4 linked regions of the Lepisosteus oculatus genome follow. The protein of the gene in region 1 purifies or fractionates together with the protein of each later gene. This does not show direct contact. Links are inferred from orthologs where the notes say so. Each region holds a gene or a part of one and is shown on either strand. Other genes may lie near its edges. The genes, in order: tubulin alpha-1A chain, dnaJ homolog subfamily B member 6, hax1 and tcp11l2.

Evidence for each region.
Region 2: the proteins of tubulin alpha-1A chain (region 1) and dnaJ homolog subfamily B member 6 purify together in Homo sapiens (pull-down; 3 studies listed by BioGRID and IntAct, with this or other methods). This does not show direct contact. The link is inferred for Lepisosteus oculatus from reciprocal best matches to the Homo sapiens genes TUBA1A and DNAJB6.
Region 3: the proteins of tubulin alpha-1A chain (region 1) and hax1 purify together in Homo sapiens (affinity purification with mass spectrometry; 3 studies listed by BioGRID and IntAct, with this or other methods). This does not show direct contact. The link is inferred for Lepisosteus oculatus from reciprocal best matches to the Homo sapiens genes TUBA1A and HAX1.
Region 4: the proteins of tubulin alpha-1A chain (region 1) and tcp11l2 purify together in Homo sapiens (affinity purification with mass spectrometry; 3 studies listed by BioGRID and IntAct, counting the BioPlex papers as one, with this or other methods). This does not show direct contact. The link is inferred for Lepisosteus oculatus from reciprocal best matches to the Homo sapiens genes TUBA1A and TCP11L2.

Annotation. Positions count from the first base shown.
Region 1 is NC_090696.1:15,178,382-15,186,442, reverse strand, and holds the start of tubulin alpha-1A chain, read right to left. Parts: upstream 3,215-8,061; 5' UTR 3,097-3,214; coding exon 3,094-3,096; intron 1,021-3,093; coding exon 798-1,020; intron 696-797; coding exon 547-695; intron 429-546; coding exon 1-428. UniProt on the Homo sapiens protein: Tubulin is the major constituent of microtubules, a cylinder consisting of laterally associated linear protofilaments composed of alpha- and beta-tubulin heterodimers.
Region 2 is NC_090701.1:12,329,129-12,337,552, reverse strand, and holds the start of dnaJ homolog subfamily B member 6, read right to left. Parts: upstream 3,522-8,424; 5' UTR 3,376-3,521; intron 1-3,375. UniProt on the Homo sapiens protein: Has a stimulatory effect on the ATPase activity of HSP70 in a dose-dependent and time-dependent manner and hence acts as a co-chaperone of HSP70. Plays an indispensable role in the organization of KRT8/KRT18 filaments.
Region 3 is NC_090722.1:5,809,320-5,817,145, reverse strand, and holds the start of hax1 (HCLS1-associated protein X-1), read right to left. Parts: upstream 3,270-7,826; 5' UTR 3,127-3,269; coding exon 3,056-3,126; intron 2,754-3,055; exon of another isoform or gene 2,664-2,753; intron 1,652-2,663; coding exon 1,440-1,651; intron 706-1,439; coding exon 572-705; intron 74-571; coding exon 7-73; intron 1-6. Other genes in the region: pro-interleukin-16, read right to left, coding at 4,354-4,508, 4,660-4,785, 5,669-5,909, 6,583-6,681, 7,087-7,279. UniProt on the Homo sapiens protein: Recruits the Arp2/3 complex to the cell cortex and regulates reorganization of the cortical actin cytoskeleton via its interaction with KCNC3 and the Arp2/3 complex. Slows down the rate of inactivation of KCNC3 channels. Promotes GNA13-mediated cell migration.
Region 4 is NC_090702.1:55,180,479-55,188,078, reverse strand, and holds the start of tcp11l2 (T-complex protein 11-like protein 2), read right to left. Parts: upstream 3,135-7,600; 5' UTR 3,000-3,134; intron 2,952-2,999; exon of another isoform or gene 2,692-2,951; intron 906-2,691; 5' UTR 900-905; coding exon 737-899; intron 1-736. Other genes in the region: actr6 (actin-related protein 6), read left to right, coding at 5,139-5,206, 5,633-5,750, 5,995-6,063, 7,501-7,600. UniProt on the Homo sapiens protein: Promotes the migration of muscle-derived satellite cells (MDSCs) during differentiation throught interaction with FMNL2 and therefore may participate in microfilament assembly.

The sequences.
Region 1 (8,061 bases):
GGGAAGTGGATACGAGGGTAGGGCACCAAGTTGGTCTGGAACTCGGTCAGATCAACATTGAGGGCACCATCGAATCGGAGGGAGGCTGTGATAGAGGACACGATCTGGCCGATGAGCCTGTTGAGGTTGGTGTAGGTGGGGCGCTCGATATCGAGGTTCCTGCGGCAGATGTCATAAATGGCCTCGTTGTCGACCATGAAGGCACAGTCGGAGTGCTCCAGGGTGGTGTGGGTGGTCAGGATGGAGTTGTAGGGCTCCACCACAGCTGTGGACACCTGGGGAGCTGGGTAGATGGAGAACTCCAGCTTGGACTTCTTGCCATAGTCGACAGACAGGCGTTCCATCAGCAGAGAGGTGAAACCAGAACCGGTACCACCTCCAAAGCTGTGGAAGACCAGGAAGCCCTGCAGACCTGTGCACTGGTCAGCCTGGAGAGAGAAGATGCATCTGGTTGACTACTGCAGAAGACAGACGTGCTCTCCATTCAATCTTTTTAATTCTTAACACGGGTGGTTTGGGCTGTTCAACATTCATTCAGATACCCACCAGTTTGCGGATCCTGTCCAGCACCAGGTCGATGATCTCTTTGCCGATGGTGTAGTGCCCACGGGCGTAGTTGTTGGCAGCATCCTCCTTGCCAGTGATGAGCTGCTCAGGGTGGAACAGCTGGCGGTAGGTTCCAGTGCGCACCTCATCTGGGGAGAGACGGGTGAAGGGCTGTGAGCTCAGGGGCTCTGGAGCAGGGAGGAAGAGGAACAGCCCTGATCCCCCTCCACTCCACAGCCTGCAGAGCTTACCGATGACTGTGGGCTCCAGGTCTACGAAGACAGCTCTCGGGACGTGCTTGCCCGCTCCGGTCTCGCTGAAGAAGGTGTTGAAGGAGTCGTCGCCGCCTCCGATGGTCTTGTCACTGGGCATCTGGCCATCCGGCTGGATCCCGTGCTCCAGGCAGTAGAGCTCCCAGCAGGCATTGCCAATCTGGACACCAGCCTGGCCGACATGGATGGAGATGCACTCACGCTGTGAAGAGAGAAAGAGATCAGTTAACAGGAGGAACTGTGCTGGCTGAAGATCAGAAGAGGAAGAATCCTGTAACTTACTCATTTCTGTGACCTCAGCTTGGATACAGTGTCAACCACCTGCAATGCATCAATCTTGATTTCCTCTCTAATTTACTTGATCAATGACATTGATTTAACTGCCTCGGTTAGACTATTTTAACACTATTTCAGTATTTAAAATATTTTGATCAGGCTGCTGTTCTGCACAGAAAGACAAATCCATAGAAATCTCACCTTTTAATGTAAACGCTTATCTGTTTACTTTAAACTTTAAGAAGGGACGCCTTAGGACTTTTAAATAGTGTAAGAAAAGGCTGATTTATAATCCAGTCCAGTATTTACTGACAAATTACCAAGCATTATTTCCTGCTGTTATTTTTTCTTTATTAGTGATTGGCCTTCTTGCAAGAGCCGTTTTTCAACAACTCATCTGTATTTCTGTACTGATTCCATCTTAATACGTTTTTCTTTAATAGTTACAGACCTTTACAAAGCCTGGCCCTTTTTCCCCAGTTGATTTTCTGCCGAGTAGTTTGACCTAAATCCTTTGTTTTCTTTTATAAAAAAAGAGGCATCTTCTCGTTTTTCTCCTTCCCAGCCACAGTACTGAATTGTGCTCTAGTGAGCAGCACAATAATGAGCCCTTTGAGGAAAAACCTCCATCGTAACTCCAGCAGGCCTCCTGCCCTCTTGACAGTCTACAAGCAGGTGTTACCATGTGGGCTACTCTCTTCATATTAGTGTGGACCACAACTCTTTTCACTGAAAATGTATACCGCTGTCGGGCAGTTATGCTACTGTACATCCAAGACAAAGAGCCTTGCTTTTACTTCATGGAATCATTGCTTGACCCGGTTAACAAAAGCACAGCAAGAGAGCGGAGCCGAACTGCAGAAGACCCTTAATACTTGAAAGAGTCGAACACGAAGGTTTGGGTACCAGTCTGCGCTCGCTGGCTGGCTGGCTGGCTGTGTGCAAGGCTTGGAGCTCTGGAGGAACGATCCAGCCTGCGCGGCGCTCGGGGCGGCTGGCGCGAGCTCACGCACATAATGGGTGGGGGTGAGAGCGCGCCAGACAAAGGACGGCGCGTTCGGAGCGCCGCGCGCCCGAGCCAGGCGGCGCGCGCTGGGGTTCTGCTCCATCTCGGCGCCGGCCACAGCACTCCCCGGGGTCCGAAACGGACACACGGACAGCCGCCCTGACAACGCGCAGCGGAAGCTGTGTGACATTTTAGTGCTCTGGAGAGCACTTCACATGAAAACAAACCGGCTTTCGGTCTTTTTTTCAGGCGCCGCGCTGCCGCTGACGGATGAAGTGCGTGCCAAGTCGGCTCGCATTTCTGTTGTCCTCGACAGCTCCATCCATTCGACTTCAAACTTAAAAAAAAATAGAAAACACACACCTGTCCGTTCCCATTTCTGTGATTTATCCAAGAAACGGACGGGCGTGGGGGTTGTAAAATCCGAAGTGACAGGACGTCTTACTGCGAGAGGCGGGGAACACCCAGATGTGTCCCAGATAATTTATTCCGCTCACAGCGCATTCCTGTCAAGTGCGCCTTTGTCTGAGACGGGGTTTCTCGGACCACATAGCCCAGTCCTCGCCAGTGAGGCCAACACTGGTCTATTGTTACTGGAGCCTTAGAGGCGAGGGGTTCCGGCATCGCACAATTTCAGACAGCTCCGTGTGCCGCTGGCAGTACGTCAAAATACTCTTGTTTCCCCGTCATCTCGTTATTTGGATTTTTTCTATAATGCATTTTCTACAAAAGCAACTGCCCTAGTCGTGAAAATGCTTTACCCTTCCAAAAATCCCGCCCCCACCACCCCTTCCACGTCTGTTCAGCACATGAAGCGGACCCCTCTGAGCAGGGTGACAAGTTACAGCGACAAGACAGCCAGCCTCGCCGCGCACTCCAGAAAACTCCACAGTGCTGCTCTTTCTTTCTACAGCTCAGACTACCATTTTCCTTTCAACACGCAAGGTAGCAAAGGAACCCCATTGTTCCGAAATGTGAAACCCCTCGCCTTACCATTTTCTATGCCGTCTGGAGTTCTTGTCTGGCAGGCGAGCGAGGGGGAAAGAGCCCGTTCAGAGAGTCTTCTCACAACCCGACAGCAAGGAGGTCGATGCAAGAGAACGTGAAGCACATGGGTGTGAACGGCTTATTATATACATGCGTTGCCGTGGCGACTGCGCCTGCGATTTTATCATTGGGCGACGTGTCTGCTGTCTGCCCGGAGACCTCGGCGGATCTGATTTCCCATTGGTTAAGGCACCACCCCGGCCGGACAAGCCCCTCCTGCCGACCCCCACCTTGTCCGGACAATAGAGAAAACAGTTATCTGTCGCTCACTTGGGTAAAGCATTAACAGCATCAGTTCATCATGGTCTAGCAACACTAATGGAGGAGGCATATCTCTGAAGAGGACTAGTGATACACATGGATTGATGCATTTAGGGGATATTCTGCCATATTTTATATCAGCAAAGTGTATAATTAATTGTGAACAATAGGTTTAATCCATGCTGAAAAGAGAAGAGAGAAAACACAACGTTTCGGCTGTGGAGCTTTTTGGCTCCTTCTGGCTCCACAGCCGAAACGTTGTATGTTCTCTCTTCTCTTTTCAGTGTGGAATAAACCTTTACTTGTTCCTTTGCAGCCTGCACATGCTGACGCAGCTCCCCACCTGAACTAATTAATTGTGATACTATTACTACAGGACCGTGACGCATAGTTCATGACTGATTAGAAAGTCTATCAATTGAGATATGTAATTAATACTTGGAGGGTCCCAGTACCTACAGAAGTAATTCAACTGTGTCAAGTCGTGAAGCATTAGTATTTTTTAAAAATGCATCATAAGAAAAGATCAGTGTTATCTTTAATCTGGCGGGGGGTGAAAGGTGATGTTAGAGGACAAGCCCCTCTTCCGCCTGGGGTCACCTTCTGGGTTAGTGTGGGGGGCTGAAAATCGACTCCCGTGAGGGATGACGAGGTCCACCCGTAATCAGAAAAGCACCCTTTCCGGGCAACGTTCGCAGGACCCGAGCTGCTCCCGATATCAGGGGTCTCGGGGCGCGACTGCACTCTGGACTGGTAGCCAGCCCCTCGCAGCCATACTGACCCACCGCTGAACTAAACCCACTCGGCCATCGGTGACTTGATCTGCTCCCGGCTGACAGAGACACTTAGCCTGACAGAAGGCAGGCCTGAGATGATTATTGTTTTTAACAGGAATCTCTCTCTGAAAACAGATGATCTAAGATTAAAGAAATACGCCCATTTAATGTGTGTAATGTGTGTGAGTTCTGCTGGATGCACTTTGTCATCGGCTGTGAGCCACACAAGTCCAGCAGATACAGATTTTGTAGGCCCTAATCCTGGGCGCATTTTATAATAATAATAATAATTGCTTACACTTATATAGCACTTTTATGGACACTCCACTCAAAGCGCTCTACAGGTAATGGGGACTCTCCTGAACCACTGCTCCACTGCTGCACATTGGTGGTGTGAAGCAGTTTCTTACCTCATTAAAAAAAAATCTGTATAGTTTTAGCGATTTTAGAAAGCTGAATGATAAAACCTTTAGTTAAGTGCATATATATTTCAGGACCCGAAGATGTGCTGTGTTGCCTCCCCCACAGTATCCGCATATTAGCTCCAGGCTTCAGGCGGCTTCCTCCACGCGCCATCTGCTTTCATCTGGGGCGCCCGCCCCGCCCCCACTACAGAGCCGGCACCCTCGCACCTGCGGCTCCCACAGGACCGGGCAACCGACAGCCCGCGCCGGAGGAGCACGCAGGAAGAGCCTGCACACCAGCTGAATTATACAGGCGATCGAAGGGCTTAAGTATTAAATTATGATGACTAAGCGACAGCGCGCTGTACGTGATGACTGCATGCTCTGTCGGATTGCTGTTCCCGATAAACGTGCGGTGTAACAGTCTCATACATTCGGCGACGCCCATGGCTGTGTTTAGTTGGCTACCCATCCTTTGTTCCCGTGAAACCTCGCTGTCTCTGACTGGGCTCCAATTTCCATAGCTTTTAATGTTTATAATTTTTAATAATTCAACAATTTTTCATTAGAGACACTCCCGTATTCTTCTTTCATAATAAATCTATTATAATGCATCGGTTTCACTAAATTAAAAAGAAAAGTCGCGATATAAAAATCTGCTCTTCCGTACGTTAGCCGTCACGTGCGCTCCATTATCTTGCCCTTGAAGCAAGCAGAAGTCAGCAGTCAGCATCGATTGTAAAAACCCTATATATATAGATCACGTTTCTATAAAAGGACCCTTTACAGCGGTTTTCCTGATGAAATGTTTCTGCAAGAAGCGCGGAGTCTGCGCCGCAGGTGCACGCCCATGGCGGCGCGCGGCCGTGCCACAAAGGCGCCGAGTGTGAAGCGAGCGCGGGCCCCGTGGCGGCTCTGCTCCCGGGTGTCTACCGAGTGCCGGGTAACAAAGACACCCCATGTGCTGGGGTGAGAGCCAAACGTGTAATGCTCACTGCATGTTTCCAATATACGTTTTTTAGAGCTAAAAAATAAAAACTGCTGTACCACTGGCTTAGTTGTACTTCACACCACCCTTGCCCTAGAACGAACTGTCCAGTCTCGCCTTTGGGGAGAAAAGTACTGGTTAATCCGACCTGAATATCGCAGAAAGAACTGCAGTTTGTAGATTGCAATGACTGTGCGATTCGGGGTGCAATTTGTCTTTAGGAAAGCCCTCAATACAGATGAAATATTTATGCAGACATTAATATTTCAGTTGGAAGTAATTTAAACCAACGTTGCGGAGGCCATGTCAGCCCGTGCTGTATATGAAAGCCCTGAAGCTAAGCAGCATCATGTACAAGTATCAGACTTCATCTGGATTATTATAATATTTCTGCTTTTCATCACTGTGTTTTATCACTCTACCATAAGCCACTCCCCGCTGCCATTTCTACTTAGGGTGTCTTTTCCCATCTTGATTGACTATTGCACCACACAGAGCTGCTGAAAAGGCTCTGGAAGCTAAGGGGCAGTGTATTTACGCCCGAGAACAGGAGACAGCTCTTTACACTAAAGGTTGTGGGGGTCTGGAACACACTACTCAAAGCAGATGACATCCCATCTCTTCAGCACCCAGAGGGCCGGCTGCCAGTCTGGACCATCTTGCCCCAGCACACACAAAGTCAAAGAAGGAGAAAGGCTACCCCCTAGCCCCCTTCTCAGTATCCTGTAGTTGCTAGGCAATGAATAGCTCAGTTGCTAGGATACCAGTAAGAGCCCAGGAGATGCTACATCAGGCTTCATAAAGCCCCCTTTTAGCAGTCGGTGGGTCACGTGGCCGATATTGAATGACAGTGCAGATGAGGAGAGGTGGGGGCAGCTTCGGCGGAGGAAATAAAGACACTCCCATCGCGCCCTCACCCTGGCAGAGCTCCTCACATTGACCATCCTACACCAGCGAGAAGGGACAGGAGTCCTGTGACATGTTTCACACGTAGCGCAGAGGAATAGGAAAGGAAAAGAACGCCCAAGACATAGCCTGACATACTCCTGACCCTCTCCAGTCACACACCAGATCTGGGCTTTTAAAGTGATTGTTTTCATGTTTGGAATTCACAGTTTCATTTATTTTGTACCTTGTTGTCCCACAGCTGTTACTAATTGCATGGTGTTTCTACAAACCGTACAAGCTGAAGCTGTCTGGCATGTCAGTGGGTGTCTTGTAATATGCCCTTCTGTTGCCAGGCATTGCTGAGCTTGTGGCGTTGGCGTTACTGTGCTCTCTCCCTCTCACAGCCTAATTCAAAGATGGCATCAGCACTGGCCTTGCAGAGACACAGTCCAGCGGGTCTCATAGATCACCCTTCACGTGTTATGTCTTGTAAATCTGTTGAAGCCAAAAATGTCACTAACTGACAGTACATACCAACCACGGATTCACCTTCTGATTTGTTAATTGTGCAAAATGTTTTTTAAAATGTCTGCATTTAGACGGAAACCTGCCTTGTGTAAAAGGGTTCCCGGACAGGAGCTGGCTGTGTGATTGATACTCAGTGGTCACTCATTATCACTGAGTGATAAGGGCGGAGTGGTGGCTCTGTGGCTAAGGATCTGTGCCTGTGGCTGGAAGGTTGCTGGTTCAAATCCTGCGGCCAGCAGAGGAATCCTACTCCGTTGGGCCCCTGAGCAAGGCCCTTAACCCCAACTGCTCCAGGGGTACTCATGGAGAGCAAGCTGGGGTATGCAAAAAGACAAATTCCTAATGCAAGAAATTGTATAGGGCTAATAAAGTGATGTTATGTTATCCCTCAGTCCTCCTTGCTCAGCTGTGGATTTCAGTCAATCCCAGAGCCAGAGCTTCTGGGCTTCTGGCCCTGGAGTCGGCAATGGTGGAGAGAAGGAAAACCAGTCGGAGTCTGTCAGTGGTGTTGGCCCATAACTGACATTCAGTCTGCCAATACAGCGGTCTTGTCGCTGCCTTCCTGAAGAATGTCATTTCTTTATCAGTGTCCCTGAAAAGGTGTCTATAGAAGTGTCAGTGTCATGGAAAGAAATCTATAGAGACTGGCTTTGTTTTGGGGGCAGCTGTCTGTTTAATCACAACTGATGCATTGGCAACTCCAAACAAACTAGTACTTGAACAGTCAATTTGACATTTTTATCTTCTGACTGAGGACTACGCACTGAGATAAGGAGAACCTGTGTCAACCTTTACACAACGCCATAGAACAGTGGGTGAGTAGGGGCAGCTGAGGTGCAATATTGGAGTATTTTTTTAAAGAATATATTACTTTCATTGTTCCTTTCAAAGCACATACTAAGATAGGCTACCCTGTTTTGAATGATGGTTATTTGTTACTTACTTACAGAGGGGAGACCTGATTTACTGTGTGATCTTCCGCATTCTCCATCTGAGCAAGAGTTTGGTGATAGTTCTGGTTTTCCTTTTTCTTCACACCGCCTTTAAATCACTTCTCTGTCTCTCTGTC
Region 2 (8,424 bases), on another chromosome or scaffold:
TTCTTCCCGCCAAAGCCTGCCCAACGAGTCGCTCCTCTTTCAGTCACGCACTCGCCACCGCGGTTTGCGGGTCTGAGCTACTTATGCGGCGCGTTTGCCATTTCCATCTGTTCCTGCTATAGCTGCTGCTGTTATTTTGGAGTCAAAATCAGCACCCACATCTCGGTCCCCTGAGCCTTACGGTCTGCCTATTTTGGCGAGCATTGATTTATTTTTAGTTAGAATAATGTGTCAAATAACATTTACGTTAAGTTTAGTTTTAATTCCTAATGTATGTCAGCATGTATTTGTATGATCCAAATGCATTTGGAACACTACATTTAACACCGTTCCACACAACCCCTTTTTCCCCCCTGCAGGGTTAAGGTACCGCTGATGCGAGGTTTTCGTGGAATGTAACCTTCCCATAAAACGGGGGACGCCTGTACAAGTCCAGCCCCCCCTCATGTTAGCAAGACAGATAAGCAAGGTCAGTTCTGTACTTCAGGGCTCACTCGCTTATCTGCTTCCAACTCACAGTGTCCAGACAACGATACAACAGTACAGATAAGCAGTAGCCCACGCTAATGTCCACCAACCACTTGTGTAACATGTCCAACACATAATCCCTCGATCACAACGCATGGATTGTGACATCAAAACAGATGCCCCTGAACCAAAGGGATTCCCATCCCTAAAACTGCTGCTGCTGTTTTATTTAACTGGGATGCAAGTCTCAAGATCTTGCGTCAGGACAGAAAGTCTGTACATCACTGACAGAAGTCCAATTAGTTAATGTGATGTAAATGACAGTTCAGTGCAAACAGATCACATACCTTGTCTAAATTACATTTCTGTTTATTCAACAAATGTGCAATCTCAGAATTATACTTCTTAAGTCCATTTCTGCTGTTTCTCCAACATTTTTTTCAGCTTGTTTATAGTTAAGAAATTAAGTAATGCCTCTAAAAGGTAGCCTTAAACACAGGGAAAAAGGTTAAATACGTCATGACATTTTATAAATTATATATAATTAATGACCAAATAAAATAAAAGTTTCTGGGTTCACAATCCTCTTATCTTCCAGACAAGGAAAGAGCAGATCTGGTTTATTTCCTCATGTGACCACTCCATTAATCACGGTGCGCTTTATCATTTCATGAAGGCAGCTGGCCCAACACACAGATACAAAGGCCTCATCTCCAACAGTCCTGAATTACGCAAACAAGAGAGCATCATGCAGGTCAATACGCTGACTTTTAGACTATAGCCTTACTCCCCTGAAACCGAAAGTCTTGATGGAAGGTCCTTCTCTCACAATCCATCACACTGTATGATTTTATGTTAAAAGCGGGATAGGATTAGCGTTTGCAACTTTACCACCATCTTTAGAACTGGTGCAAGACAACCTATCTTTACACAACCAAAACTACCTCTCAAAGATACTGGCAAGCCAGCTACTTCATACGTAGCCAGCAAACTATCTAAGTGTCTATGTTAAAGACATTCAATACACTTTGAAGTGCTTGCTCCAGAAACCAAACACAGATCTCAGAAGCAACACTTTTCAAATGGCTTGAACAGAAATATACCATTTGCTAAGAAACTGTATCGCTGGGTCTCATGGCTGTGTGTGTAATATAGGCACCAGTAACAGCAGCTCTTTCCTAATAAAGCACAGAGGGGACTTTAGAAATGAATCCATAGATTGAGTGCAAACCTGTTGAAAAGTAACACATTTAAAGCACTGTAGCAATGGCTTTTCTGTGCCACATGCACAGGGTATTAAGTGGATTAAGAGGACATCCACAACCGGGAATGTATTCTGGTGTCAACCGCAGCTCACTAAAGCGTACTCCCTCATGCTAATACACGAGCAGACGTTATGAAAATCTTGAAATTTGCTTAAATCAACACAAATGTCCCCTACAGCTATTCAGGTTTTTTTTTTTTACTGTAGAAAAGTCCAAATAGTGACAGCTCAGCAGCAGTTTTACCTAATTTCACACGCGGTGTCAAAACTAGACCGGCACACACATTTTTCAAAAGGGCAGAAGTAACTCTTCCTCGCCCCGGATTCGCACGGAAAGCTCTCCCGGCGTCAGCAAAGGAAATGTTTACAAATCGAAAATAACAACAGCCCTAAAGCCAAAGAGGGAACTGAAAAGAAGAGCCACAAACCGAGGGCCGTGTCTCAGCATTTAACAAATCAGCCCATCACGAAAAGTTCAGGTGGATGCCACTCATTGGTGGTGGTGGAGGGGAGTCCCCATTACCTGTGAAGCGTTTTGAGTGGAGTGTCCAGAAAAGCGCTATATAAGTGTAACCAATTATTATTATTATTATTATTATTATAAGTCACAGACTGTAAACTACAGCCAGCCTCACGTGTACTCTGAGGAGAGGGAAGGAGAAAGTGCCCCATGGACGCAGGGGCAAGACTACCTTCATTTGAACCGGCTAATCCAGTCCAGGGACCAGGGCGACAGGGATACACGGTTCTCGGCGCCTGCCGGTGTGGACAGGGGGGGTCTTTAGTGGGGACGTCCCCACACTCATCCAGACACGCCTCGGTCTTCGGTGCGGATTGAAAACACCGGTGTACAAAGCCAACCGCAGGCGGGCCCAAGCCGTGTAGTACCTCCCGACACCGCTTGCCTCGCAAAACAAAAACACTGGTTACGTCCAGTTTTGCCTTTATGCCCCGCCGACATCCTAAGAGCGGCCCTGTCAACAGCGATAACATTGCTCACAGAGAGCAGCAGGTACTGGCGTTGGTCACTGGCCGCGGTGAGGGGCAGCGACACCAAAAACACAGTCACCCCGGGTCGACCCGGACCTGGGTTCACCCAGTGCGGTCCGTGCTGCGAGGTTTCTCTTTGAGAGGTGTTTTGCTCGAAATGGGGTTCCCAGCTCACGCACGTACTAAATCCAATACTCGCATCTAAGAGCAATTAAGGGACGACGCGACTCTTCAATCATGAAATACTTCACAGCAGAACCGGGGCGGCGGGGGGAGGGAGAGAGAGAGAGTGTCTACGAACCCACCATCCTCGTAATCAGGGGAGACCCCGTGTTTTGAGGGGGACACTTTCCTCACCACTATCCTGGAGGACAAAAGATCCTCCCCCCCCCGCCAATCTCTGCCGTTTTCACGCTTTCGGGGTTCTAGTCATACAGACTCCGGGGACCGACCCCCCCGGATGAACAACCCTCCCCCGATATCGCTGCGACACGCACGGGCATATATTTCTCTGGATCACATCTTAACCAGCTCGGCAAATGTATTCAGAGCACGCAGTATTTGCACTCTCCCTTCGCCATCCTCCACGACGTGCACTCACTACGCACAAACGCAACCGTCGGCGGTCAGGACAACATCAGACACAGACTCACCTCCCCGTTCGGCTACCAAGACCTCCCTTTTGTTGCTGTTGTTTTATACTGTATAGTGTACGTTTTGTACTCTAAAGGCGCCGCACAAGAGCAACTTCTGGTGCCCCTGCTTGTTCCTCGGCACTTGTAACGTCACTTCCTGCTACAGCCAAAGCCGCAAACTCTAATGGGGGGAGGAGGGGAATTTATCTTTGAAATGTTCTGGAAATTTGTGGTTGACGTGAACCGGCGTCTGCTTTGTCGTCTTTAATGTTGTGGTTAATAATATTTATTTTGCCAGATCCCTTCATACACAAAATACAAACGCGCTACCCACATAAAACCATTTCCAGAATGTTCTGTAGTAATCAAAATAGGACGGACGTGTACTGATGTTCTTACCTGTGGTATTTGTGAGGCATTTTGAGATTTTTGGATTAAGAGTATAGAAGAATTACCCTTTATACGTGTGCTTTAATTTGTGTGTTTCTTACGTAAAAAGTATAGCATATTGCAATTTGTGTGTATTACAGCACAACAGTATAGTATTGTGATACACTAGTGTAGTACTATACAATTTACTATAGTGCTCACTACAGTACGTTACTACAAGGCCTACACTATTACAGTCACGTTCTGTAATATGTTGTGTAGTACTATAGTTCTGTGCTTAATAACCACACAGGTTGATTCTTGCATTTGTAGATTGTTTTTCTTATCAAAGGATTGTGGATTGTAAATTGTAGAATTAATCTATATCGATGCCATAGGAATACCATGTATTATATACTGAATACACGTTATATACTTATATAACATGGGTATGTCATATATACTAATACTTTATAGTTTATGGACATAACAACTACTTGCATGGAATTAATCTATATCAATGCCATAGGAACACCATGTTTTATATACTGAATACACGTTATATATTATATAACATGGGTATGTCATATATACTAATACTTTATAGTTTATTGACATAACAACTACTTGCATGGAATTTGGTTCAGTGAGCACATACAGAGGTTGAGCAGAGTGGGAAGGGTTGGCTAGGATCTTAGAGATCAGAGAATTCAGAGAATTTTGTGTTTCAATTTCAAGAGGCAGAGGGAAGGTGGCATCCTTTAAATTTGGAGGCGATATACAGTACATGACTTGTCCTGGGCAGAAGTGTTGCCATACCACGCAGTGAGGGAGTGAGGGAGAAGCTCAAAACACTCTCAGTGTGGAAAAGGGTCATTGCTTCTTGTGACACTCCAGAATTCTTCAGCTGTGTCAGGAAGAACAGCCTTTGGTGAGCTTTCTTGACCAGGAACTTAAAATTCTCCACCACGTCCACAGCCTGACCAGTGATGAATAGTGCTCTTTTGCTTTGCCTAAAGTTCTTTTATTTTGCTGACATTTTGTTCCAGTTTGTTTAGGCTACACCAATCAATTAATTCAGCTATTTCATTCCTGTTTACTGATTCATCATCGTTTGTGGTGAGCCCTACAGGAGTAGCGTCATCAGGAAACTTGAACATTTTTTACAGAATCTGAATGTGAAATACAGTCATTTGTAAACAGAAAGTAAAGCAAAGATGATAAGACACAACCCTGATGAGCTCCTGTGCTCCTAATACTCATAATACAGTAATACATGTGCTATAGTGTGTTAGATATACTGTAGAATAAAAACATATTCAATTTACAGTGCAATATTATACAGCACTCACAGTATTCATATAAACATTATATATTTTGCTTATACATTATTTTGCTTAAAATGTTACTTCAGTAAATGTCAACCTCCTATACCTATCAACTCCACCACATTTTGGAATAGTAAGCTTTTATAACATGGATAGCACAATACGTAATGCACGTCTTTATGCTGGGATATTCTCTAATAGAGTAGTTTTATATTAGCATAACCTTTAAGAGCCAGAATTAAAAACCGTCACAATAGTTTTAATTTCTGTAGATTTTAGATATAGTGCCATAGAAATGCTCTCAAAAAAACAAACAGACACTATTGGTTCTCCTACCTTGCATAGCATTATTAATGCATTTCTGTATATGTTGTACATTTACTTTAAAAAGATTATAAAATAAAAAATCACAAGAAACACAAACAATTAAATTAGAATAACTAAAAAGAAATACAATTGACTTACTCACAGGAACACCTTTTCAAAATAGATTTTAAATGTTGACAGCTGCATAGTCCCTATATGAGTTGTGGGGATATTTAAACTTAAGTTTTACAAGATATGCTTGTACAGTATAAGGAAATAAGCAGTGGATGTCAAAGGAACATTAATACATTAAGTTAACAAAGTTTTTTATGCATTCCCAGTTAAATTGAATTTTATGATAAAATATTTAAAGTATAAAAATAAAATCTAAACACTACATATTGTATGGTACAGAACTTCAAATTTGCAGTAGTTAATAAAATGTTAGAGAATGGCTTTGAACCAGGGGTCAGAGGACCTCAGAAACACAGGTAGACTTTTCACCCATTTTCTTACTCTTATATAGTGCTTTTCTGGACACTCCACTCAAAGCACTTTACAGGTAATGTGGACTCCCCTCCACCACCACCAATGAGCGGCATCACCTGGATGATGTGAGCCAAAGTGCAGCCAAACTGCACCAGTACACTCCAGCACACACCAGCTATCAGTGGAGAGGAGAATACCGTGATGAAGCCAATTCATAGATGGGGAGTTTTAGGAGGCCATGACTGGTAAAGGCCAGGGGGGGAATTTAGTCAGAACTCCAGGGTAGCAATACTACTCTTTCTGAAAACTACTTTATAGTGGCTTTATGATTTCAGAATAAATGCACCTGTCCCTGGAATGTTCCTCTGTCAGGCAGTGAGTGTGAAGTAAAGATTCAACTATGAAGGCCTAACAGAAACAACCCTATCACTGAGACACTGCCTAGATCAGACTATACCGTTAAAGCAGGTGGGCAAGGAAGAAAATGGTTCAGGATGTCATCGTAAAGCCAGTTTTGACCTTGAAAGAGCAACAGACTTCAATGGCTGAGATGGGAGAAAGCTATCCATGAATCAATATCTCAGTCTCTCCACAAAGCTGGTCTGCATGGCAGAGTAAAAGGAAGGGAGCTATTTTTGGTCCAAATGCAAAGCGAAATATCTAGTTGCCTAGTCAAAGTCACAATTTCAATCTAATAGTACATATGTAGCAAGACTTGAAATTGCTGTCCTTTTTCAATCCCTGCCAACCTTACATCGCTGCCTCCCAGCTCTGGGGCCCTGGGTCCTGGATTTGGGGTATTTTCAGTGTGGAAAACTTTCTGTGTGTTTGTGTGTTATCCATGTTTTTGTGTGGGTTTCCCCCCGATGTTGTGGTTTCATTCCACAGCCCAGAAGCATATTGGTAGGTTAATTGACTAAGGGTGGAAAATACGCCCTAGGTGTGAATATGTCTGCCCTGCAATGGCTTAGTGTCCTTCTAGGATGCATCCTTCCTTATGACTACTGCTTGCTGAGATAGGCTCTGGCTCCTTTGCAACCCTGAACTGGGTCAGACCCCATGTTATCCTTCACAAGGAAAATTGTCACATGTTCAAAGCTATCAAGATTGTTGATACCAGTTCAAATACAAACTTCCTATGAAATCTGTCATGAACACTTAGACCTCTGTCACAAAGGCACAGACAGCTTCTTTTGTTTTCCCTTGAGGATTGTTATTAGCAATGAAAAGAGAGGCTGCCACTGAGATCTTAGAAGAAAGGCGATCTAAGCAGCATCTCTAGAAATGTTTTCAGCAATCAGTTTGTGTGACACTGACAGCTTCTGCAACTGGAATTCATGCCACAGAAAATATTTCTCACTGCCAAAAGCTATTTGATGAAGAAGTATTTCTGTAATGCAATCACCAGAACAGTTTGAGAACAACCTGGTTAAATGTCTCCTTATTCTTCATGACAGAGCAAAAGTCACGTAAGGTTCAATCTGCCATTAGCAACTGTAGTTTTGAGGAACTGAATCATCCACCATACAGGCATTATTTCACTTTCAGGGACTGTATATTTTTTCTTCAGAAGTTTGAAATTTGAAAAGGTTTGGTGGAGAAGACCATTTGTGAAATTGAAGAAGTATGTCAGTGTGGGTTGAAATCCACTTCTGTTCTCAGACTTGGTTCTAGAATACAGAATTCAAAAAACAATAACTAGACCAGGGATGCTGTTGACAAATAATGGAAATAAACTGCAGCTTGGTTTAGACAGATTACATTTTTAGTAACCCTGCCCCCCATATGTATTTGGCTAGGATTTCAAATCTTTTCATAAATTCAATCAAGGCTATTTTAAATAATTGAACCTCCCCTGAAGCACAAATGCATGGGCATTCATAAGTAAATTCCAACTGTCCAAACTGAATTGACTGTCCAAATGAAAAAGAATCATCCTTATTTTTCATTGAAATGTGTTGCTTAAGAAAGCAACTGAAGACAACTATTCAGAAACACATGGAAACAGCAAAACCCTACTACCAGCCAGCAGCCATATCACCCTGTAACTTACAACTTGTAACCCACTGCTAAGCAGGTGTGAACCTGGTCAGTACCTGGATGGGAGACTTCCTAGGAAAATGTAAGGTTTCTGCTGGAGGAGGTGTTAGTGGGGCCAGCAGGGGGCGCTCACCCTGTGGTCTGTGCGAGTCCTGATGAGGACACTATACTGTAAAAAGGTGCCATCCTTCAGATGAGATGTAAAACCAAGATCCTTACGTTCTGTGGTCATTAAAAATCCCAGGACATTTCTCAAAAAGAGTAGGGATGTAACCTCTGTGTCCTGGCCAAATTTCCCATGGGCCTTTATCAATCATAGCCTCCTAATAATCCCCTTCTATGAATTGGCCTCATCACTCTGTTCTACTCCCACTGATAGCTGATGTGTGGTGAGTGTTTTGGCCCAGATCGGTGGTGGTGGAGGGGAGTCCTCATTACCTGTAAAACGAGTGTAGTGCCCAGAAAAGCACTATATAAGTGTAAAGAATAATTATTATTATTACTAAATTTAGAAACACTTAATGTTTAATTGTGT
Region 3 (7,826 bases), on another chromosome or scaffold:
TCTTACCTCCGTCCTGCTTCAGGGGCTCCCCCTCTTCCGCCCTCCACAGGCCCCCCCGCCAGACGTCATCGAACTGGGAGAGGAAGAGGAGGGAGGCTTAGTGACCCAAAGCCCATCAGAACATCAGGGCTTGAAGAGGATTAATACAACAGGCACTCCGAAACGACTCTTCCTTCAGCACTGACCCCTGACCCCTCCGTCCGCTCATCCACGCACCCCTACTGCCCCCCTCCACCCCACCCCACCCCGCCCTGCCCTGCCCACACCAGCAGCGCTGCAATCGGGTGCAAGAGAGAAAAACCACAACATCCCCCTTCATCCTCACAATCACTTCGGATCGCAACATGATCATAGTAATTATTATTATCATTATCATTATTATTGAGGCTATTATTATTATTATTATTTTCTAAAGCACCTTTAAAAGTGGCTTCCCAGAAAAGACACACGCACAGAGAGGAGACAGCAGAACTGCGCAGTGACAGGGAGGGAGTGGAATACAGTAGGACAGCACAGGGGCAGCGGACACAGAGCCAGGTCGATCAACACCCTCCTGAAGAAGGGCTCTCACCTTGGAGAAGGGCCCTGAGGGGGGCTCCCTGTCCCCCTGGTCAGAGGACGGGGTGCTGTCGGGGTGTCTCAGCATGAAGTCCCTCGGAGACCTGCCGCGCTCCTGCCGCCCCGGCGCCTCGATACTGGGGATCGCTGGGGAGCAGAGAGGGGAGAGAGCATGAGGATCCGGTGGGGAACTAACAGGACACATCCAGGCAGCAGGAGGGAACAGAAGACACCTGCACTGTACAGGAACACAGTACAGTACGGGGTGCAGTGTGCTAGGAACCAACACATCACACGCACACGCATGAGCACATCCACACACGCTTAAGCACACCTATCCACTGGTTCCTCATCCATCCATTTTCTAAACACTTCAACCAATTCAGGATCATGGGGGAGCTGGAGCCTATCCCAGCAAGCAACAGGCAAGGCAAGCTACACCCTGGACAGGACACCAATCTATCAGACACACACACACACACACACACACCCTGGACAGCACAGCAGTCCATCAGAGGACGGACGGATGGACGGACAGATGGATACGCACACGCAACGGACAGGACACCAGTCCATTGACGGACACACAGCCACACCTTGGACAGGACACCAGTCAATCAGAGGGCACACAGACCCTGGACAGGACACCAGTCCATCAGAGCATAGACAGACACAGACACTCACACCAACGCCATGTCCCTCAGAAGCCAATGAACCTTCTATTGGGTGGTTGGACTGTGGTAAGAAACACACTCACAAAATCAGGGAGAACATGCAAACTCCTCCCAGACAGTACTCCAGGAACTGAACCCTGGGTGTTCACGTCTTTAAGGACTGCAGCACGCCACCCCCACCCGAAGGGGCGTCGCCAGGCGGCTCACCGAAGGGGGTGGAGCTGGGCAGGCCGTCCCAGCGGCCCACGCCGGCCAGCAGCTCCTCCACCTCGCGGAACAGCTCCCGGAACGCCGCCGGCTCCTCGAAGTGCATCCCGCCGGGGCCGAAGCTGAACCCGAACCGCAGCGCCTCCTCGTCTTCGCCCTCGTCGTCGTCGTCATCGTCATCATCTCGCGTCATGCCCTCGAAGAACGGGTCCCTGGAGCGCCAGAGGAGGGGGGGGGGGGGGTTGACAGAGAGATCAGCGCCGGCGTGTGGAGGGATTGTGGGATAGCGAGAGCACGGAGTTTACACCGGGAAGGCGAAAGGGGCGGCACGGTGGCTCCCAGTGGTCAACCCCGAACCCGGGGCACTGTCTGTGTGGAGTCTGCATGCTCTCTCTGGAGGCTCATATGGGTTTCCTCCAGGTGCTACGCTTCCTCTCGCAGTCTAAAGACATGCTGCTGGGCTCTGGGGCAAATCAGCCCTGGTGTCAGTGTGAGAGTCTGTGTGTCCTGCGATGGACTGGTGTCCTGTCCAGGGTGTGTGTGTCTGTGTGTCCTGCGATGGACTGGCATCCCGTCCAGGGTTTGTGTGCGTCCGTGTGTCCTGTGATGGACTGGTGTCCTGTCCAGGGCGTGTGTGTGTGTATGTCTGTGTGTCCTGCGATGGACTGGTGTCCTGTCCAGGGTGTGTGTGTCTGTGTGCCCGGCGATGGACTGGTGTCCTGTCCAGGGTGTGTGTGTCTGTGTGCCCGGCGATGGACTGGTGTCCTGTCCAGGGTGTACCCCGCCTCGTGCCCTTTGCTTGCTAGGATAGACTCCAGCTCCCCTGTGACCCTCCCTGTCCTGGATTAATCGTTTAGAAAATGGATGGATGGAGAAAAATGTGAAAGGACAGGAAACAAGGAAGAGGGAGACAGCAACAGAGGTGGGGAGAGGAGGAGGAGGAGGAGAGAAGAGAAAAGAGGCCGGGCGCCCTCTAGTGGCGGAAACTTTACCGGTGTGTTAACGTAGTAAAACATCAACAAGAAGCAACAAGCAAGCAAATATTTAAAAAAAAACAATGGAAAATAATTTAAAAAATGCAAAAAAGCTTTCTTCAAAGCGGCTCCATCGTGGTTTCTGAGTAACTGAAATGTTAGACGTCAGCTAAAACCTAATAAGCAAACGGCTAACAGCTCGTGGGGTGCTCAGTCTCTAATGGACTTGCTCAAGTGACGAGTGAATTACTCAGTTATGTAGTTATTCCCTTCCGATACTTCAGAGCGGAATTGTTCTCGGCAGTCTCAAAGTTATTTGTGCTACATAATTAAGTCCAGTTCCAGAACACTAGACGTACACAACATGAGCAATACTTTAAGAGTCTGTCGTCATCCTCGTCAGTAACGACGGAATTACCAGTATTAGGGTCTTGATAACGCACCGAGATGATATAACCAACAAAATGTCGTGTATTAGTTCACGTCGGAATTTGTAACTTTAGATAACCGGTATTTCCAGCCGTGGTTTCCCTTAAAAGCGCCTTTCCAGGCCGTTTTTAAAATATTAAAAATAACACTTCAAAAGTAAAGCATTTTCAAAACAGGGTAAACATCTGTTTGACAACTGCAATACTAACTCACCTCCGTCTATCTCCGGGGTAACTGCCTCTCGGGAACCCGAAAAAACCGCGAAACAAGTCAAACAAGCTCATCTGACAGATTTCCTTTTAAATAAAAAATCGTCTTTGTGGCTTAATACTTTATTTTGGCATAAAGCTCTTGCTCGCTTCTTCTTACAAGGACGCGGAGAAGGAAAACGAACGTGCCACACTGCCGTAACTGAACTTGGCCGTAATGACACACTGCCGGAAAGTGACGATTATTGCTGTAAGTTACAACGCGGAGGGCACGGGCGGTGTGTCGTAAACATTACAGCACAAAAGCAAGCTAGAGGCCGAGGGGGGGTGGTGTAGGAGTCAGCGTTATTCACAGTGCTCGAATCTGGTTTCTGATTAATCACTGGAGAAAAATCCCGACGTACCGCTTCAGCCAGCTCAAAGAAAAAAAAGGTTGCCTTACAGGCAAACAACCTGCTGTTCGTTCACAAGCATGTGCAGTGAAGAATGTGGCTGATTAATTCTCATTAAGTTTGAGAACGGACACGAGGCTTAGACTACAGCTGTTCACCACATTTGTACTGCACTGTACTGTGCTTTTACCCTGATCTCACTGGGCTTTACTGCACTGTACTGTGCTTTTAACCTGATCTCACTGGGCTTTACTGCACTGTACTGTGCTTTTACCCTGATCTCGCTGGGCTGTACTGCTCTGTACTCTGCTTTTACCCTGATCTTGCTGGGCTATACTGCTCTGTACTGTGCTTTTACCCTGATCTCACTGGGCTCTACTGCACTGTACTGTGCTTTTACCCTGATCTCACTGGGTTGTACTGCACTGTACTGTGCTTTTACCCTGATCTCACTGGGCTCTACTGAACTGTAGTTTGATATTCGTATAAAATGAACGTCGTAGATGGAGAAAAAGTAACACACAATCCAAAACTGAATTACAACACATTTATTTAAAGCAAGCACAAAAGTTTATAATTAAGATTTTGATTTTAGGGGACGTTAACAAGATATTATTAACAAGCCATTTTTTTTGTTTTTTTAAGATTGTTATACAAAATGTTAAAAGATGCTGAAACATGAATTGCTGCAAATTCTTGTCCCCCTCTTCATTCAGCTGCTCTGTGTAGCTTCCTGATTTTCTGCCTGTGTTCATGTCTGAATCTTATCACTGCTCTCTCTGCCCTGAATTCCTCTCTCTCTCTGTGCCCTGAACCCCTGTCTCCCCTCTCTCTCTGTGCCCTGAACCCCTGTCCCCCATGTGCTGGTTACAGGGCCAGACAAGCTCATCCCTCTCTCTTCCTCCTCTCCCTACAGTCTGCAGGGGCGCTGCAGTAACACCTCCACCGGCCCAGGGGGCAGCATCTTGATCCAGTTCCAGGCCTCCAGCCTCCTCAAGCCCCGCAGGCTCCGACCTTTCACCTCCAGGACCTCGTCTCCGGGGAGCACCTGGTCGACGGGGCCGCCTGGGAAGACGGGCAGGAGACAGGGAGACAGGAAGACAGGAAGGAGGGAGGGAGGGCAGGTGAATAAAAAGTGGGAGGGCCAGGAAGGGAACATGACAGCAGTGCGCTAAAGTGACGCTCGGGAGCCTGACGTTGCCCGTCGGCGTCTTACCTGGGAAGACCTTCTTGACGGTGAGGGGCCTGTCCCCCTGGTTGGACCCGCGCCCCCCCTCCAGGCTGAAGCCCAGGTCCGAGGAGCTCTTGGTGAGGATCAGATGCACGGTCTTCCCTGGCTGGGCTGCAGGGATGAACCACAAGGAGGCCATTACACTCCTGCCATTACACATCCTGTGGTAATATGACATCTATTACATAGTAATATGACATCTATTACACAGTAATAAGCCCTAATTCCCTCACCATATTACACTTTCCTTTATGCACTGAAGGGGGTAGCGTGGAGCTGCAGCTAGTGCTCTGAACCTGTTTTCAAAAGGTTGCGGGTTCAAATCTGGCCTGTCTCATTATGGCGCTGTACTATCCTGCCTTCACAGCCCTATCAGTGGGTACCCACACCAGTGGCTGGGGTGAACCCCTAAAGGAGGAAACCTGTACTGTTTATTCCACTGAACACCTTAGAAACGGGGATAAATCCTGTTTCTAGGAGCCACTTTGACCAGTGCGGGTCTCAAGCAAGAACATGCTTATTACACTGTCGTGCTCACTGTTACAGTGAAATGTAGTTACAACATAAATGATCATTCCTTGCGCTTTTCTGGACACCACTCAAAGTGCTTTACAGGTAATGGGGATCCCCTCCACTACCACCAGGGGACATTTGGCCTGGACACCAGGATTAACACCCCTACTCTTTTTGGAGAAACGCCCTGGAATTTTTAATGCCCACAGAGAGTCAGGACCTCAGTATTATGTCTCATCCGAAGGACGGCGCCTTTTTACAGTCTACATAGTGTCCCAGTCACAATAATGGAGCATTAGGACCCACACAGACCGCAGGGTGAGCGCCCCCTGCTGGCCTCACTAACACCTCCTCCAGCAGCAGTCTCCCATCCAGGAGCTGGGCAGACTCACACCTGAGCTCCAGTGGGCTGCCAGCTGCCATGCAAAGGAGCTGTGTGGGGCAGTTGGGTCCGCGGCCTGGTTCTGGTCTGGATACCCACCGTCACCCGTGGGGAGGCCGTGGGGCTGGGTGCCCTGGGGCTCGGCGGTGGCGGCGGGGGTGCAGGTCCCCTTCCGGAGCACCACGATGGCCTGCTCTCGGGACCTCGCCCTCCGCAGTGTCCGCAGCGCCTCCCAGTGGGCGGCCGCCTGCAGCGCAGTGCCGTTGATGGACAGCACGCGGTCGCCCTCGCGGATGGAGCCTTCCTGGGCCGCCAGGCCGCAGGGGAACACCCGGTGGACCTGCGGACACAGCCGGACGCTCCCGTTATTACGGTCCGGACCGGCCGTGCGCAGGGAGCTCACTGCCCCCTGGCCGGACAGCGGAGTGCCGAGCCGTGGACACTGCGGGGTGCGGGGGGGAACCACATCTGGGCCCAGATGCGAGACGTGACAGGGGACACAGCAGAAGACAAGAGACGGACGCAGAAGCTGGGAGACACTCTGACACAGAGTCACGCAGAAGGATGAGGAGACAGAAACAGTTTCCACTCATAGAGAGACACACAGAGACAGTGTCCACTCACAGCCATAGAGAGACACACAGAGACAGTGTGCACTCACAGTCACAGACAGACACACAGAGACAGTGTGCACTCATAGAGAGACACACAGAGACAGTGTCCACTCACAGCCATAGAGAGACACACAGAGACAGTGTGCACTCACAGTCACAGACAGACACACAGAGACAGTGTGCACTCACAGTCACAGGCAGACACACAGAGACAGTGTGCACTCATAGAGAGACACACAGAGACAGTGTCCACTCACAGCCATAGTGAGACACACAGAGACAGTGTGCACTCACAGTCACAGACAGACACACAGAGACAGTGTCCACTCATAGAGAGACACATAGAGAGTGTGTCCACTCACAGCCATAGAGAGACACACAGAGACAGTGTGCACTCACAGTCACAGGCTTGTTCTGATCCACTCCCCCGGCCACGGTGAAGCCCAGCCCAGAGCCCGCCTCCTTGTGCAGGACCACCACCTGGATATCCTCACAGTTCTGAGAGCGAGGAGGAGGCAGAGACGGGGAGATGAGGCCAGAGAGTAGAGAGTGTGGGAACAGCAGGGAGAGAGAAAGAGAAAGTGGACATGAACAATTCTGTACAGTACATGCTGTGAGTCCGAGAATTTTCGTAATATACACGCGTGCAGTAATACTTTGTCTGATTTCTCACAAAATTTCTTTACATCCATGGAGATATGTTTTGCACACATAGAGAGACTTTCAAAAGCTCTCGGACGGCACAAATAAATGCTACATAAAAGACAACGTCCCGTGCCCAGTCATTGTGCTCCACTCCTGCAGGAGTCCGGGAATCGTGCACGTGCTCACGCACACACGTGCGCCAGTGCACCAGTAGGTGAGGCTTGTGCACGTGTGGGCGGGGACATGGGCGGGGCTTACCGCCAGGGTCTCCTCCCCCGCCGCCCTCACGTCGTCCAGCAGGCTCTCCAGCTCGTCGTGAGGGATGATGGACACCATGGACAGGGCGGAGGACATGCTGGAGCTCAGGGAGGCGGAGCGGAGCGACCGGCTGTCCTCCGCGTCGGAGTCGTCCCAGTCGTCTGCGCCCCCCAAGCCGCACAGGTCCGCCAGACTGGGGGGGGAGAGAGAGGGGGGCTGGTGAATAGGGCCGTGTGTTTTTCTCCCGTGCGTGACACGTTAAATGTCGTCAGGCGAGGGGAAGACACAGCACTACAGGAAGGGTAGCAGGTGCCTGGAACAAGCTGCCCAGCTGTGTTGTTGAAGTGAGAGTCCCTGGATCCTTCAGTAAATGGTTTGTCATTTTCTCACTGTTTCATCCAGTACAGGGTCACGGGGGAGTCAGAGCCTCTCCCAGCACTCACACTCACACTCACACTCACACTCACACTCATACACCAGGCCCAGTTTTCCCAGAAGCCAGTTACCCCACCAGCCTGTCTCTGGACTGCGGGAGGAAACCCACGCGGACTTGGGGGGGGAGAACATGCAAACTCCACGCAGACAGCACCCCAGGAATCGAACCCAGGTGTCCCGGTGCTGTGGAGCTCCAGTGCAAACCTCTGCACCACCCCGCTGCCCTAGAGCACTGCACCCCATACTGGATGAAAAACCCCTCTTTTTTCTTTTTCCCCGGTGGCTATCCAGATTGCGGATGACCG
Region 4 (7,600 bases), on another chromosome or scaffold:
ATGAGAGGCCACTTACTGCAGAGTTCTAGCACTACTGTAAAATAGCTGTACCACTCAGACATGAGCGAGGGTCTTCACTCTTGTCCGTCAACCCACAGTTGTGTGTACAGTACAGCCAGCAGCTGTATCACTCCCAGCCGGCAGCCCCCTGGAGCTCAGCAGGTGTGAGCCTGGCCAGTACCTGGCTGGGAGACTCCTGGGAAAAACTAAGGCTGCTGCTGGAAAAGGTGTGAGTGGGGCCAGCAGGGGGCGCTCACCCTGAGGTCCGTGTGGGCCCTAATGCCCCAGAGTAGTGACAGGAACAGGGCTGTCCTTCGGAATGAGATATAAAACTGAGGTCCTGACTCTCTGGGGTCATTAAAAATCCCAGAGTGTTTCTCGAAAAGAGAAAAAGAGTTACCCCAGCGTCCTGGTCAAATTTCCCCCTGGCCTTTAACAGTCATGGCCTCCTAATAATCCCCATCTATAAACTGGCTCCATCACTCTGCTCTCCTCCCCACTGAGAGCTGGTGTGTGGGGAGTGAACTGGTGCACTGTGGCTGCTGTCGCATCATCCAGGTGGGGCTGCACACTGGTGGTGGTGGAGGGGATCCCCATTACCTGTAAAGAGCTTTGAGTGGAGTGTGCAGAGAAGCGCTATATAAGTGTAAACAATTATTATTACTACTAAAGAGGCCAGGACGGCGCGGAGGACACGGCGAGCACGCAGGGGTACGTCCTCTCCGGAGGGACTCACAGGCCGGGGAGCTGAGCCGGCTGGAGGCGTCGCTGCTGAAGCTGCGCCGGGAGCTCTCGCCGTCGCTGGAGGAGCCCGTACTGTCGCGCCGCACCGCGGGGCCCGCGTCCTGCTCCGTCTCCGGGTCCGAGCTGGCGGAGGGGCGCTCGTCCTGGAGAGGCATCGCGTCCTGCGTGGGGGACCGGAGAGGCGCCGCCGCCCGTGAACCTCAGCGCGACCGCAACAGCCCACGCGTGCGTGCGTGCGTTTCTCCCCCCACCTGTCGACCGACCCCAAACCCCACTTTCAGGCTCCCTTATCTATGGAATCTATGGCCGGGAGAGCCGACACTTTCATCTCCGTGTGTTTCATCCCGTCGCGCAGGCCGCTGCTCAAGACCATCAGCAAGTCCGCTCGTTTATTTTGCCGGACCTGCCTCCACTGTGCCGTTTATAGCGCCGTTCACTGACCACAACGCTGCACATGAGCGGCGGCGGCTGCCTATGCGACAAAAACCGGAGCAGACGATGCTTATGTTTACTACCGCCGCCGCCAGAACGCGCGTGGGGGGGCGTTCGTCACCCCGTGACCCCGGGAGTCACGCGGCCCCGCTGGAACAGCTGCTCGGTGACCATGGCAACGGCCGGGACTCTGTAAACAAACCGGCGCTGCGGCCCGGCCGGGTCTCCCACACGAGATGTCAAGGCGAGGGGCCATGAAACACGTTAGCGAGCCGCCGGCAGCACGACGAGGTCCTGACGTGTGGCTTCGCCCTGACCTGACCGAGGCAGCCCGGAAAAAAGTTACCGCTTTTGGAACGATTTCGGGTCGAAACTAGCGACACGACAGATATCCATTACCCTCATGCGCAGCATGAAGTATTGCCCGAGTTTCACAAAGTGCTGCCAGCGCTGGAGTGGGACACCATGGCGCAAACCAGAGGTCTCCGTTTTAAAGAAAGATATACCCTACGTTTCAGTGATGCTACTAAATCCCCCCCCCCAACACACACATTTTGTTTTTTTAATTGATTCCTTCGCGGTACCGCGCAGGCAACTGAGGACGCTGCGTCTCGCTACATGCGAGTGAGCTCTTCAGACACAGCAGCGCGCAAGCCGGCCAGGTCTGCAGTTCGATCCCAGCACCATAACACGGGGTGGGATCTGATCCGATCTGCGCCTGAGGCTCCAGACGCACAGGATACTGCGGGACTCGCGCTTGTATATAGCGCACCCAGGCTGTACAGTATATAGGGCGTACAGGGTGTAGGCAGGGCGCACCCAGGCTGTATATAGCGCACCCAGGCTGTACAGTATATAGGGCGTACAGGGTGTAGGCAGGGCGCACCCAGGCTGCATATAGCGCACCCAGGCTGTACAGTATATAGGGCGTACAGGCTGTAGGCAGGGCGCACCCAGGCTGTATAGTATATAGGGCGTACAGGCTGTAGGCAGGGCGCACCCAGGCTGTATATAGCGCACCCAGGCTGTGCGAGCGATGCAGGAAGCCTGTTTGTCCTCGGGCTGCGAACGGGGAAGGTTCGAGAACAGCGCCGCGCGGGTTCGGAGAAAACCAGCCCCTCCGCCGCGCAGAGCGGCCCGCGGCGGGGAGGCCAGAGCGCAGCCTAGCAACCATACCCCTCCTCCTCCTCGAGCCGCCCCGCCTACGTCACCCTGCGGCCCACGTGATCAGAGCCCCCAGCACCAAAACAAGAACTGGGACGGACCCGCAGGACCGAGCCGGGCAGGGACGGCGAGGTCCAGTCGCCTCACCACAGGGCGGCACGGTTACCGTCGGAAAGCGCCGGGTCTACGGGCTAACCGACTAGAAATGCTCTAATCCCTCGCAACCAGTAACCCTCTTGCACAAGGTTTCTCGCGGCTGAGCTTGCAACATGTTGTTGTTTCGTCTAAACGGATCAGAACCAGAAGATTATTACTCTACATAACCTGCTTAGTCAACACAAGAAGACAAACCTCAGATTACAAGTTGTTTTTTTTCCCCCGAAAACACCGCACAGATGTTCCCGACCGCTGGCAGCTCTCAAGGCCCGCTGCGCTGTCTCGGGAGTAAACAACGCGTTATTCCTGCTAAGACAGCACCTCGCCGTTAGCATCACCAGCGCCCGCCCACAGATTTCCCCAAACAAGTTTTTCTTCTTTCTTAAAGCCAACGGTACCTTAACTTCCCCCCAAAACACCGAAGAACACAGGGCACCGACCCGCGAAAGAGCCAGATTAGTGACTGAAATCTTGATTATTGTTAAAAGTCGTCGCTAAATTACCTTTAAGAAGCCTCCTGCTAACGGAGACTCGGTATCAAAGGAGAGCTATATTAAGGTGTCTATCTCGGGAAGAGATACTTAGTGTCCGGACGCTGCGCTCTGCACAGTTTAAAGATCCTGATGTCCCAGCTGGCCAACACGCTACTATTTATGTTACACTCGGGATGGCCCATCGGTGGCTGTCTGAAGGGGGTCACCGCGCGTTTCATTCTTTCAACCTGTCCATATTTCGTGGGCGTGCCAGGCATATCAAACAACACATAATGATATAAGTGATCAGTCTTCTCATTTGTTTCCTTTCGTGCACCGGTTAGTAAAATCAGTGCTACATCTGCATGACGATAATAAGGCGACTCTCCCTCATCTAAAGCCGAAGATGGTACCTGCCGCCTCGAGCACAGTGTTCTTTGTTTACGGATGTGACGCAGGTTGAATCGATCGCCCGAGGAAAGAAGATAAAACAAGGAAATGTTTTTTTTTATCATTGTTTTGAAGTGTGCAGTACTAAGTGTTGTATTACGGTACCGTTGATAACACAAGCAACCGTTTTGTTTAATTGTGTCGATTGTCAGATAATTCTGAATCCCCTCTTTTTTTAAAAGATCTCATTTTCATCCAGTGGAAAATTCGTTCCTGTCAACTTCACTTGACATTTGTACCTGAAAATGAAAGGAACCGGGCTGTCTGGTCCATCTGGCCTGTTTGGTCGTTAGTAGCTAGTTGATCTGAGGAACCCATCCAGCTGTTTCTTGAGAGAAGCCAGGGTATCATATTGAAGAGTTTAGAGGAGTACCTTGTTCAAAACCCCTACAACCCTTTGTGCAAAAGAGAGCCTCCTGTTCTCAGTTTAAATGCACTTCAACGTGGTGTCTTCTTGTGTCCTCTGGTTCGTGTTTCACTCTTTATTTCAAAGACCCTTGCTGGGTTGACCTTGACAGTGCCTTTGCAGACTTCAAATACATGTGTCGGCTCGTCTCTTAATCTTCTCTGTTCAAGATGAAAAGGGGCCAGAATGTATTTAAGTGCTTTTTTTCTGGACTGATTCCAGATCAACAATATCTTCTTTGATGAATCCTTTGCTTGATTATTTTTGTTAAACAGTCCTCCTTTTGTATGTGAATGGATGCATATTTGAAAAGCTCAAGCATGTGGGGGTGTTGAATGCTGGTTAGGGCTCAGAACTCCTAACTGGAGCCATACTGCTGTGTCCCCGAGCAACGGTCTTTCCCCAGGCTGCTCCAGCAAGTGTCAAAATAAGTTGTTGTAAGTCTTTGTTAGCTGCTTTTGGATTCGTGCTTTGTCTAGACTTGTGAAGATGTCATGTAATGCAACTTTAGTTAAATTTCCCCTTATTATTTACCTTATTTTTCTCCAATGTAAGAGTTTTGTGCAAAACAGCCTTAACAAGTGGTGGCCTGATATCATAGTTAGGGAACTATGATACCATAGTTGGGGTTAAGTTGCTCTTAACCCCAACTTCTCTAGGGGCGCCGTACAATCTCTGACCCCAAGCTTCTCTCTGTCTGTGTGTCTCATGGAGAGCAAGCCAATAAAGTAATCTTATCTTATGACTTCATTGAAGTTAAAACGGGAGCTGAACTGTGGCACCTAGCGGCCATAAGAAGGTACTGCAGGCAAGGAACTCTGTCCTCATTCAGTTAAAAAAAAAGAATATATAAATGAACAACTAAAAGTGTATTCCATGCTGAAGAGAGAAGAAAAGAAACACAACGTTTTGGCTGTGGAGCCTTCTTCAGGTGTGTGAAACGTTGTGTTTCTTTTCTTCTCTTTTCAGCAGGGAACAAACCTTTACTTGTTCCTTTGCAGCCTACGCATGCTGACGCAGCTCCCTACTCGCACTGCTTCAGAATATATAAATAACAGTTCTGAACTAACGAAAAGGAATTTATTTTACTTTGGTTTGAAAGGTTTGAAATCGACACTGAAATATCTGTGGCTGTTTTTCAAAAACACTTGCCCGAGGTGGAACCAAAGTGAAGCGCTTGTTTCCAACACGGCCCCTTTATCGGGCGGACAGCAGCCTGAAATGCGATTGATTGAATCTGCGGAGCGGCGCTGTAGTGAGGACACTTTCCCAGACAAAAATCAACGCTTTCGAGTCGGGCAGCTATTGTAATAATGACGACTTTGGTACTTGACAATGGGGCTTATACCGCAAAAATTGGTTACAGCCATGAGAATGTCAGGTTGGTTTAATTTACGACACCTTGCTTGGGTTCTTGTATATATCGTGGGCTTTCTGCTTTGTTAACGACAAATGCTACTCTCCTTGGTTACAGTAAAATGAAGTCATGTCAGGTTCATCAGTTATTCGGCTTCCCTGCAGAGGATAAGACCACAGTTACACAGAGTGGGGAACACAAGCTTATTTCACTGAGCCTTAACGAGGTTCCGTTGTTGTGCTTTTAAATTTCAGGACACGCGGGAGTGATCTTGTGAGTGACGGCGTTTCGCATTTATCACGTTTTGTTGTTGCTCACATTCGAGGCAGTGCTGATGGGCCCTTTTGGTAGTCTGTGAGATCTGTTATGGGCTGAACCGTCAGTGTTGGCCCTTCTCGGTTCGCGAGTCTGAAGCTTTTACCTCCTGCCTGTTCGTTGTGTTTCCCCCAGCGTGATCCCCAACTGTCAGTTCCGCTCCAAAACTGCGAGGCTGAAGACGTTCACCGCCAACCAGATCGACGAAATAAAAGATCCGTCGGGACTCTTCTACATCCTGCCTTTCCAGAAGGTGGGCTCCGCCTCAGCCTTTATTTAAGCTTTTAATATTGTTTCTGCCAGTTTTTAGCTAAAGCATCCCTTGTATACACTGTACCTTTAAGTTTAATATAAGTTGGAAGAGCAAAGATGTGATTGCAAGCGCTCGACTAAATGCGACTACTGATGAGATTATTTTACAGTGGTTGTGTAATATATGATTTACTTTTGAATGTGTTCGTGGTTGTTCTGAAAATGAAAGTCACTTTGTTTTCCAGGGCTACTTGGTAAATTGGGATGTCCAGAGGAAAGTGTGGGATCACCTGTTTGGAAAGGAGATGTACAAGGTAAACGAGAGCCGTCTTTCCGGCTGTCTGCTTGGGGCCAGTGACTTCAGGACAGCGTGTTCGTTCTGTTCCTTTCGCCGGCCAGCTGCTTGTTTTTAGAACAACGAAGCACGTGTACTCTGAATGTTGGGGCATCGTTTTCATTTCTTGATCACTCATGGCCCGTGCATTCAACTGATCTTGGCTGTTTGCACGAATGGTGTCAGCTCGCCTCAGCAGCGACAGGCTTGGCCGTGTCAGGTACTGCCCTGTCGAGCTCGGTGGAAGCCAAGAAAGCAAGTGGCAGGAAGGAATGGCTATTTCCTTCTTAACAAGAGAGAAACCTGGTATGTTGGAGGCTGAACGGAGTACATTCGGGTGGACTCGGCAGCACTGAAGGTGTGTGTACAGTAGAGCACTCTCCTGGAGGCAAGCGCATCTCCCGCAGTGGTGCGGAACAGTATGGGATTGTCACGTGCACCGGGTCAGTAGATGGGGAGGTCCAAGTGTGATGCACAGGGCAGGCATTACTAGTCACCACAGAGCTGGGCGTGTAGTCGTTGATGGCAGCCTGACTGCACGGCACTGCGTTGATCAAGTCCGGTGATGTCAGTCACTGCCCTTCCTGCAGGGCTCATCCTGACCTGACGGCGTCCCAGCAGGACAGCACGGGCTCATGTCGCTGCTGGGACGGCAGCTTTCAGGCAAGGTGGAAACGGTGCGGTTATGCCATGGATATCCTACTCGCCAAAAACGAGCTGGATGGAACGTCTGCAGGCTGAGCAGGGACAATGTGTGGCATCCAGGGCTCCGAGACCAGGGAACAAGCATGTGCCGGCCCAGGCTCTACAGATGCGACATCATCTGCTACCTGGTGCAAAGCATGTGTCACAGATGTACAGCTTGTGTTGCTTCCAGTGATATCCACTCACGTTACTAGCACGTGAATTTCACAGTAGACCCCATATTGATCAGCCTTGTTGATAGGATTTAATCAGTAACAACCCTGACTAGTGTTAATCTGCCTCATGAATTTACCCCTGCCACATCTGGTGCTGTACCTGCCTGTTACAATACATGACTTTTTTTTCCTGATAATGACTTTGTGAATTCATTATAGTTTTAAGTTCTAAATATTTTTGATGCACAATATATGATGTTTGACGAGTGGAAAATCGATCATTAAAATTGAATGTTCATAGTCTGTTGTTGGAATTGAATAAGAATTGTGTCCCATTGTGCCCCATGTTTGGAACAAAAATGTTCTGAAAATTGAAATCTGTAAATAAGAAATTATCAGAAGTAAGAATCATACAATTTTTTTTGTTACATGGTAGCATGTACCATTTTAAGGAAAGACTATAGTGGATTCACGTGTACAGTGATAGTTTTGTTTTTCATGTGTGAATTAAAGAGGCAGGAGAAGTTATTGGTAAAATGTATTTCATTTGTTTTTAGGTGGATTTTGCTGATACCAGTATAGTGATCACAGAGCCCTACTTTAATTTTACTTCAATCCAGGAGTCAATGAATGAAATACTGTTTGAAGAATATCAAT